Linked DNA regions of Macaca fascicularis. The main gene of each other region encodes a partner of the protein of the gene in region 2 in a complex. Links are inferred from orthologs where the notes say so. Each region holds a gene or a part of one and is shown on either strand. Other genes may lie near its edges. The genes, in order: ESR2 and NCOA5.

What was found.
Region 1: the proteins of NCOA5 (region 2) and ESR2 are in contact, whole or in part, in a crystal structure (PDB 4ZI1), measured with the Homo sapiens proteins. The link is inferred for Macaca fascicularis from reciprocal best matches to the Homo sapiens genes NCOA5 and ESR2. Residues at the interface, in NP_066018.1 of Homo sapiens: Ser344, Leu345, Ile346, Leu348, Leu349, Ala350, Asp351; in NP_001428.1 of Homo sapiens: Ile310, Lys314, Phe319, Leu324, Gln327, Val328, Leu331, Glu332, Leu490, Glu493, Met494.

The regions. Positions count from the first base shown.
Region 1 is NC_088381.1:132,127,673-132,132,017, forward strand, and holds the start of ESR2 (estrogen receptor beta), read right to left. Parts: upstream 2,818-4,345; 5' UTR 2,482-2,817; intron 1-2,481.
Region 2 is NC_088384.1:102,116,582-102,120,400, forward strand, and holds part of NCOA5 (nuclear receptor coactivator 5), read right to left. Parts: coding exon 3,818-3,819; intron 1,914-3,817; coding exon 1,777-1,913; intron 135-1,776; coding exon 8-134; intron 1-7. UniProt on the Homo sapiens protein: Nuclear receptor coregulator that can have both coactivator and corepressor functions.

The DNA.
Region 1 (4,345 bases), on a different chromosome or scaffold from region 2:
TATATTAGCAGTACCTACCAATAACAGGCTCCTAACTGCATACTGAATTGAATACTGTATTAAACAGTGAAAACTATTAGTTTACAAAACATTTTGCATCTCCACCCACCAGGAAAATCTAGACTTTAAGACATGAGCAGAGAAATTTAAAAATCCTGACATCTACAAATAAGTTGGGTACAGACCTAAGCCCCTATGAAGATAAATATTTTACCTTCAGCAATTGTAATCACTCTGCATTTTAAATGTCTTCAATTTGTCATTTTCAAACCCTCTTTTGCTTCTCACTATTTGATAATATGCAATTTCAGGTAGCTTTCTTAATCTCAGGTATAATGAAAGTAGTTTTTTTTTTAATATAGAAGTTTTAAAATTCAAAGATTATACCAGAATGATGCATTCTACTAATATGATATAAATAACTTTTAATGGCCTTGTATTTCAGTTCAGGATAACTAATGATATATGCCATAACCAAAGGTTTAAACCACAATAGAATCTAAATCTGCGAAGAACTAAATCTATTAGCCCTATATGAATTTAACACTTAGTCCAAGTCTCTAGTTTCCCATTTGCAAGTAGCATTGTCTTTGCCTTGATTTATCCCAAGGTACTAGAATTCAAAATACCACAAACTGACTCATCCTATAAAAAGGGAAAAACAGGTTTTTCTTTCAAAAAAAAGTGAAGGAAAATATGTCTAAGTAAAAACACACTAAAGAGCAAAACTACATACTTATTATGTAGTTTTAATCAGTCATTTTCAGGGGCAGTGGGGTAGGTGGAGGTACAAAGGGGACTTTTGGGGTGATGGAACTGTCTTGTGTCTTGTCTGTGGTGCTGGTTACATGACTGTGCATCTGTCAGAATTCATAGAGGTACACTTACAGAGGCTAAATTTTACTGTATGTAAATTATACTGCAGTAGCCTAATTTTTTTAAGTGCTATTGCACATAAAACAGTGTGCTAGACACTGAATTATGACATCTAACGTTCAAGCATACAATTCTCAAGGGTTCTAGATGTATTATCAAAAACTTACCATTAAACACTTCAAGTTCAGCCTTCAGTATTTTATATTTTATCCACATTTATATTCTATAAAATGACTCAAAACATCACCTAAACTTATCACAAGATGAATTTTGAATCATTATGTGTTCAATACACACTTAAAGAAAATCTCATTGTCTTATTCTTAAAAGTGAACATATCAATATCTATTAAATGTTAATTATATGGTTATGGGTTGAATTTGCTACTAAATTTTACCTTTTCTGAATTATAAATACATTCTGAGAAATGCAAACTGTGATTTATTCACATCCCTCAGAACACTACGAAATGTGTCCTAAACATGTTAATTGATTTCAGCGACTTCTATGTCTTGAGCAAGACTTCAGTGTTAACAAGTGTCTCATGGCTTTTAAAATGAGAACGTTTCAGAAATTCATCTAAAAAATTGCTTGAACGTAAAATGCAATCCTAAGGTGTATACTCTAATGCCTATTGATAAACAGATCCTTAGTTTCCCTCTAGAACTCATGTCAAAATACATTTTCTTCAGAAAAAATAGGAGTCAAAGATGTTAATCATATTCTTTTCATAGTCACATTACATTTGCTTTTTACAACACTCTCAGAAAAGTCTTTCCTTTCACATGTTCACTCTTTAAATGACAAACATCTTTCCCCTCACTAGACACTGAGTCACGAAACTTAGAGCAAAAATAAAACTTTCTAATGGAATGCCCATGTAAATACTAGAAATAAAGCAAAATAAGGCAAACTCTTTCCTTCAAAATGTTGCCTACCACACCCAAACACAATCCTGCTTTTTAAACAGCAAGTAAAAGTAAATCAACCTTACTTTCCTAAATAGAAGTCCACTCAAAGTTTTTTCCACAAATATAACATTCACTTGACTTAATATTATCCTTCCCAGAAGAATAACACACAGGGTGTTAGAAGGCAGTTGTTGGACTCCTCTTCAGCAAATAAAGGAGACCAGATAGAGCTTAGCTTGGTCTGCCCAGGAAAGGAGGAACGCAGCTTGCTGATATGGCTAAGGAATGCCAATTAATACATTTTAAAACCCCTATCATCTGCCTGAGACGTGTACATCTTCCTAGGCCCTCAAATTTCAATCAGAAAGTGTGTTCAACTCCACTGTCATTTCACCCACAGTGGGGAAATCCATCGAGGAAAACCACAGGAAAAAAAAAAGTTTTTCAGACATTCATATTAGCACAAGCAACCCAGAGCTCACAGCACAAACTAAATAAGTTAACTTGCCGGTGTCTTGAATGAAGACATTTAATCAAAGCATACATTTTCCATCTTTCCAGTAGCTTTCAAGACAGTTGGTTTTGGTGACCGTTTTTTTGGTCTTTTATTGTTCTCAACACGACTGGTTTCTCACCGCAGGATTTCAAACAAAATGAGACAATTAAATGACATCTCGAGCGAAGGGGCGCTTACCTTGCAGATAAACACACGGGCCTTGCCTTCTCTAAAATGCGGACACGTGCTTTTCCAGCATTATGGGGCTCCTGGCGCGCGCCCCGCGGCCACCTGTTGAGGAAAGCGAGCGCAGCTCCTGCAGCCCAGGCTCGGGGCGCCAGCCCTGCCCCGCAGCCCCGGGGCCCGTCGCAGCTCGGGTGGTCCCTCCCCGGCCCAGCGCTCGCCGCCTGCTCTCCGCCCTGCAAGTTTCAAGAGGCAGTTATTTCTCGCAGCCACTGCGCTTGCAACTGCCTCCGAGCGGGGGAGTGGGTGTCCAAAAAGCCAGCAGCTGGAGAAACTGAAAAGATCACAAGCGACTAAACGATAAGCCCCTTCTTCCTTTTAAAGACCGAGAGGAGGGTAGAGGGGAGTAGTGCCTGAGCCCACGTGACCACCGAGCCCGGGAGCCCGGCGGTCTCAGGAGCGCCCGGCGCCGCGCGTGACCCCAAAGTGGGAGCACCCTCGAGCCGCCTCCTGGTCCACCCCCAAGGATAGTGGCGCACAGATGGCGCTCCCCGCAGCCGCAGTCTCAGATTTAAGAGGTCTGTAGTAGGGCCTAAGAACATGCATTTCCAACCAGGTCCTGCGGGATGCCGACACTGATACAGCCAGTCTGGGGACCACACTTCGAGGATCACGTCCCCCCAGCCCCTGACTCACATAAGTGTCATTCAGTACAGAAGTCTGATTCTAAGGAGCCAGTGGTGAAACCAGAGAGGCTTTGGGTTTGTCAATCCCCAGCAGCATACGTTAACTTCGGGTCCTGGAGTGGCAAAGCCGTGGACTAGAGGTGGAGGGCGTGGGTTCTCAGCTCTCAAGAGCTCGCTAGGAAGGCCTTTCGCGTTAGATCAAAGATCCCAGGTACTTCCTCGAACTCACTTGGTGGAAGTGGCACTGGGGAGACCTGTGCCTCCGGCCGCTGCGCCCTTCTCGGCTGGAGGTACCTGCCCACCCCTCTCCTCAGGCGAAGGCCCCTCGCGCCTCCTGGTGGCAGCCCCAGTTCCCCCAGCTTAACGGGGTGTTCCCCTCACCCAACCCAGGAGGAGCCTCAGGGTGTGAGACTGCGACCACCATCTTAACTGGCTTTAAGGCAGCTGCTGCTGATGAAAATTAAAAGGAAAGTAACGTGTGACCCACAGGCCATTGCGAGAACCCAGTGTCACATCTGTGCCTAATTAATCATCAAACCACTCAGGTGGCATAAGGGACATGGTTTTTGAGGGTTGTGATCCAGATCTCTAACAGAGGAAGACCAAGGGGGCATTTGGAGGGAACCTTTTACAGTACCAGCCTCAACTGTTTAGTGTTTAGCCAAAATAGACACAAGTGTGCTCCGGGTTGATAAGGATGAGGTCCGCAGGTAATGAAGACAGGCTCCAAAGATGGAGAAGCACCTGCTTCATCAGCTAAACAATAGCTGTGAAAAGCCTCCACTGCCCCACACCAACTCCAATTTTCATTAAAGCTGACCTGGTTTCTCTCAGGTTGAAAGGCAGAGTCTCCCGGTCCTTGAGGCAGAGAAGTTAGTTTGGACAGGAAGAGTGTGTCGCTGGCAAATAAATGCAGTGGACAACATGCCAACCTCAGCCTCCCTGTCCCCTGTCCTGGGGTCCCTCAAGGTACCCAGTTCCCATATACTCCTCCTCCTTGCCACCTTATGGAGAAAATGTTAAATGATGGTTTAAAAAAATCAGCTTCGGCCGGGCGCGGTGGCTCAAGCCTGTAATCCCAGCACTTTGGGAGGCCGAGGCGGGTGGATCACGAGGTCAGGAGATCGAGACTATCCTGGCTAACATGGTGAAACCCCGTCTCTACTAAAAATACAAAAAACTAGCCGGGCGTG
Region 2 (3,819 bases):
TTCTTACTTTGTCTGTTTGTTGACGACAATCACAGAACAATCAACAGGCCTTTCGGCATCAAAGCGTCTCTGGATTTCCTCAAAATATTGACGATAAAGCTCTTCTCTACGCCGTTCCTCACGTTTCAAACGCTCTGCAAGACACCACCAGGGTAAACTGAAATAAGGACTGGACCCTTCTATAAAAACAAGCCACAGGCCTCATTTTAAATCCTGAGCTACTTGTAGGCAAAGGTCATCTCTGAATCAATCCTTTGGTCTATCTCCTAAAAATAGCCAGCATTAGTATTTTTTACTATTAAAAATTAACCAAAATGTAATGGCTGGATTAAAGGGCATGGCCATTTTTTTTTGAGATGGAGTCTTGCTCTGTTGCCCAAGCTGGAGCGCAGTGGTGCGATCTCAGCTCACAGAAACCTCCACCTCCCGGGTTCAAGCAATTCTCCTGCCTTAGCCTCCTGAGTAGCTGGGATTACAGGCACCCGCCACCATGCCCAGCTAATTTTTGTATTTTTAGTAGAGACGGGGTTTCACCATGTTGGTCAGGCTGGTCTCGAACCCCTGATCTCGTGATCTACCCACCTCGGCCTCCCAAAGTGCTGGGATTACAGGTGTGAACCACTGCACCCGGCCCAGGGCATGGCCATTTTAATGCTGCATCTGATACTTACTGCCAAGCTGCTCCGTGGGAAGGCTGGTACTAATTTATACCTCCACAGACGTAGATCATCTAGTACCTATTTCTCTACACCTTAGTTAACACTGAGTACTGGCATTCTTTTTAAGTCTTACCAACTTGACAGATAAGAATAGTATTCATTATTATTCTAATCTGCATTTTTGATGACTTTTTTTTGAAAAAAAAAAAAAAGTAGTAAAGTTTAAAATTAAAAATTTTGAAAGTTCTTGTTTTAAAAGAAAAAAATCAAGTAGTAAAGTTTAAAATTAAAAAATTAAAATTAAAAATGAGGTTCTTAAAGATTTCAACTTAGCCAGGTATGAGGTAATTTAAGAAACTTTAAAGATGTATTGAGAAAAACCAGGCTTTAAAAAGACATGTTTGTCTTCATCTAAAAAAGAGATGCTATTAGGTAAAAGTTACGCAAAACCAAAAGCCTATTTTGCATAGATAATGCAGATAGTCAGTCATAGTTATCTGGTCAGCAAGCAAAAAACAAGCACTTAATGTATTAAGCTCCAATCTTTTGTTCATTTTTCTTTTTTTTTTGAGACAGGGTCTCACTGTCACCCGGGTTGGAGTGCAGTGGCACAATCATGGCTTGCTGAGACCTCAACATCCTAGGCTCCAGTGATCCTCCTACCTCAGCCCCCCGAGTAGCTGGGACTACAGGCGTGCAGCACTGCACCCGGATAATTTTTGTATTTTTCTGTAGCGATGGGGTTTTACTATGTTGCTCAAGCTGGTCTTGAACTCCTGGGCTCAAGTGATCTGATGGTCTTGGCCTTCCAAAGTGCTAGGATTACAGGTGGTGGCCACAGTGACCAGTATTTTGTTCATTTCTTATTGCTGGAATTTAATATTTATTTCTTCTTGTTGGATGTCTAAACCAGATGATGGTACTAATTTGCATCTTAAAAATCATTTTCAAGCCAAATGCCCTTTACCCACTAATAAGCTACTTGTATTTCTTCTTTTCATACACTGTTTGGCCAAGTCACTAGCCCTTTTTCAGATGGGGTACTGGTTATTAATTTCCTTTCTCTTTTGTAAAGTGTTCTATCACTAACAGGAATAGACTGTTTCAGCTACTTTACCTTTTGCACGAGACTGACTTTCTGGGCCTGGAGGGCCTCGTCCATCAAAGCTATCTCTGTAACGGTCAAAATAAGAGTCATCCTTTCTCCTGCAATAGTCATCCATTCGTAGGTATCGGTCATAAGAGCCTTCTCTCCTAAAAAGTTAAGGAAATTTTCATAATGATAAAACTGTGTCCTATACTGAAAAAATCATCTAGAGAATTCTTTGGGATTAGACAAATGAGGTTTATATCTGAGACTCACTGCATATCAGCTCTGTGGCTGTGATAGTTAACCTGTCTCACAAAATGATGGGAAGGGATGAACAGAGATGATGTACAGAAAGCACTTAGCATAGTCTTTGGCATATATTAAATGCAAAATAACTGGCAGGAATTATTGATATTAGTTTTGAGGAAACATTACACGTCCCTCCCTTGTGCTTTTTAAAATTATACTTAAACGTATGTAACAATAATTTGCCATTTTAACAATTTTTATTTATTATTTTTATTTTTTTAGTAGAGACGGGAGTTTTGCCACGTTGCCTAGGTTGGTCTTGAACTCCTGAGCTCGGGCAATCCGCCAACCTCAGCCTCCCAAAGTGCTGGGATTACAGGCGTGAGCCACCGTGCCTGGCCTAACAATTTTTAAGTATACAATTCAGTGGCACTATATTCACAATGTTGTGTAATCACCACCATTATCTATCTAAAATTTTTCATCACCTCAAACAAATTCTGCATTTGTGAAATAATAACTCCCCTCTTTCCAGCCACTGGTAATCTTTAATCTACTTTCTGTCTCTATAAATTTGCCTATTCTTGATATTTCATATAAGTGAAATCATACAATATTTGTCTTGTGTCTGGCTTATTTCACTTAGCATAATGTTTTCAACATCCTTCATGCTGTAACACAGATCAGAACTTCATTCCATTTTATGGTTGAGTGATACCACATTATATGAATACATCACTTAAAAAAAAATCCACATCAGATGCAGTGGCTTACACCTGTAATCTCAGCACTTTGGGAGGCCAAGGCAGGAGGATACCTTGAGCTCAGGAGTTCAAGACCAGCCTGGGCAACATAGTGAGACTCTACATCTATACAAAAAGCTACCCAGGTGTGGTGGCGTATGCCTGTAGTTCCAGCTACTTGCGAGGCTGAGGTGGGAGGATTTTTTTTTTTTTTGTGAGACGGAGTCTCGCTCTGTCGCCCAGGCTGGAGTGCAGTGGCGCGATCTCGGCTCACTGCAAGCTCCGCGTCCTGGGCCCACGCCATTCTCCCGCCTCAGCCTCCCGAGTAGCTGGGACCACAGGTGCCCACCACCACACCCGGCTAATTTTTTGTATTTTTAGTAGAGACGGGGTTTCACCGTGTTAGCCAGGATGGTCTCGATCTCCTGACCTTGTGATCCGCCCGCCTCAGCCTCCCAAAGTGCTGGGATTACAGGCGTGAGCCACCGCGCCCGGCTCAGGTGGGAGGATTACTTAAGCCTGGGAGGTCAAGGCTGCAGTGAGCTGTGATCATGCTACTGCACTCCAGCCTGGGAAACAGAATGAGACCTTGTCTCAAAGAAAAAAAGATCTATTAATCTGCTGACAGACATCTGAATTGTTTTTACCTTTTGGTTATTATGAATCGTACTGTTATGCATATTCATGTACAACTATCTGAGTCCCTCTTTTCAATCCTTTTGAGTGTATACTCAGGAGTGGAACTGATAGATCATATGGTAATTCTATGTTTAACTTTTTAAGGAACTGCCAAACTGTTTTCCATAGTGGCTATACCAATTTGCATACCTACTTGCAATTTCTGATGGTTTCAATTTCTCCATACCTTTCGAACACTGTTATTTTCTGTTAAAAATGTTTAAAATCATTCATACATTCAGCAAAATTTATTGAGCAGCAGCACATCTACCACTCGACAGTCACTAGAAATATAAGGCTGATAAAATTATTGCTCTTACGGAGCTTTCAATTAGTTTAGCAGAACATACATAAAAAAGAACTTACGGAAAAAACAAGCAGAGTAACTATGTATGTACCT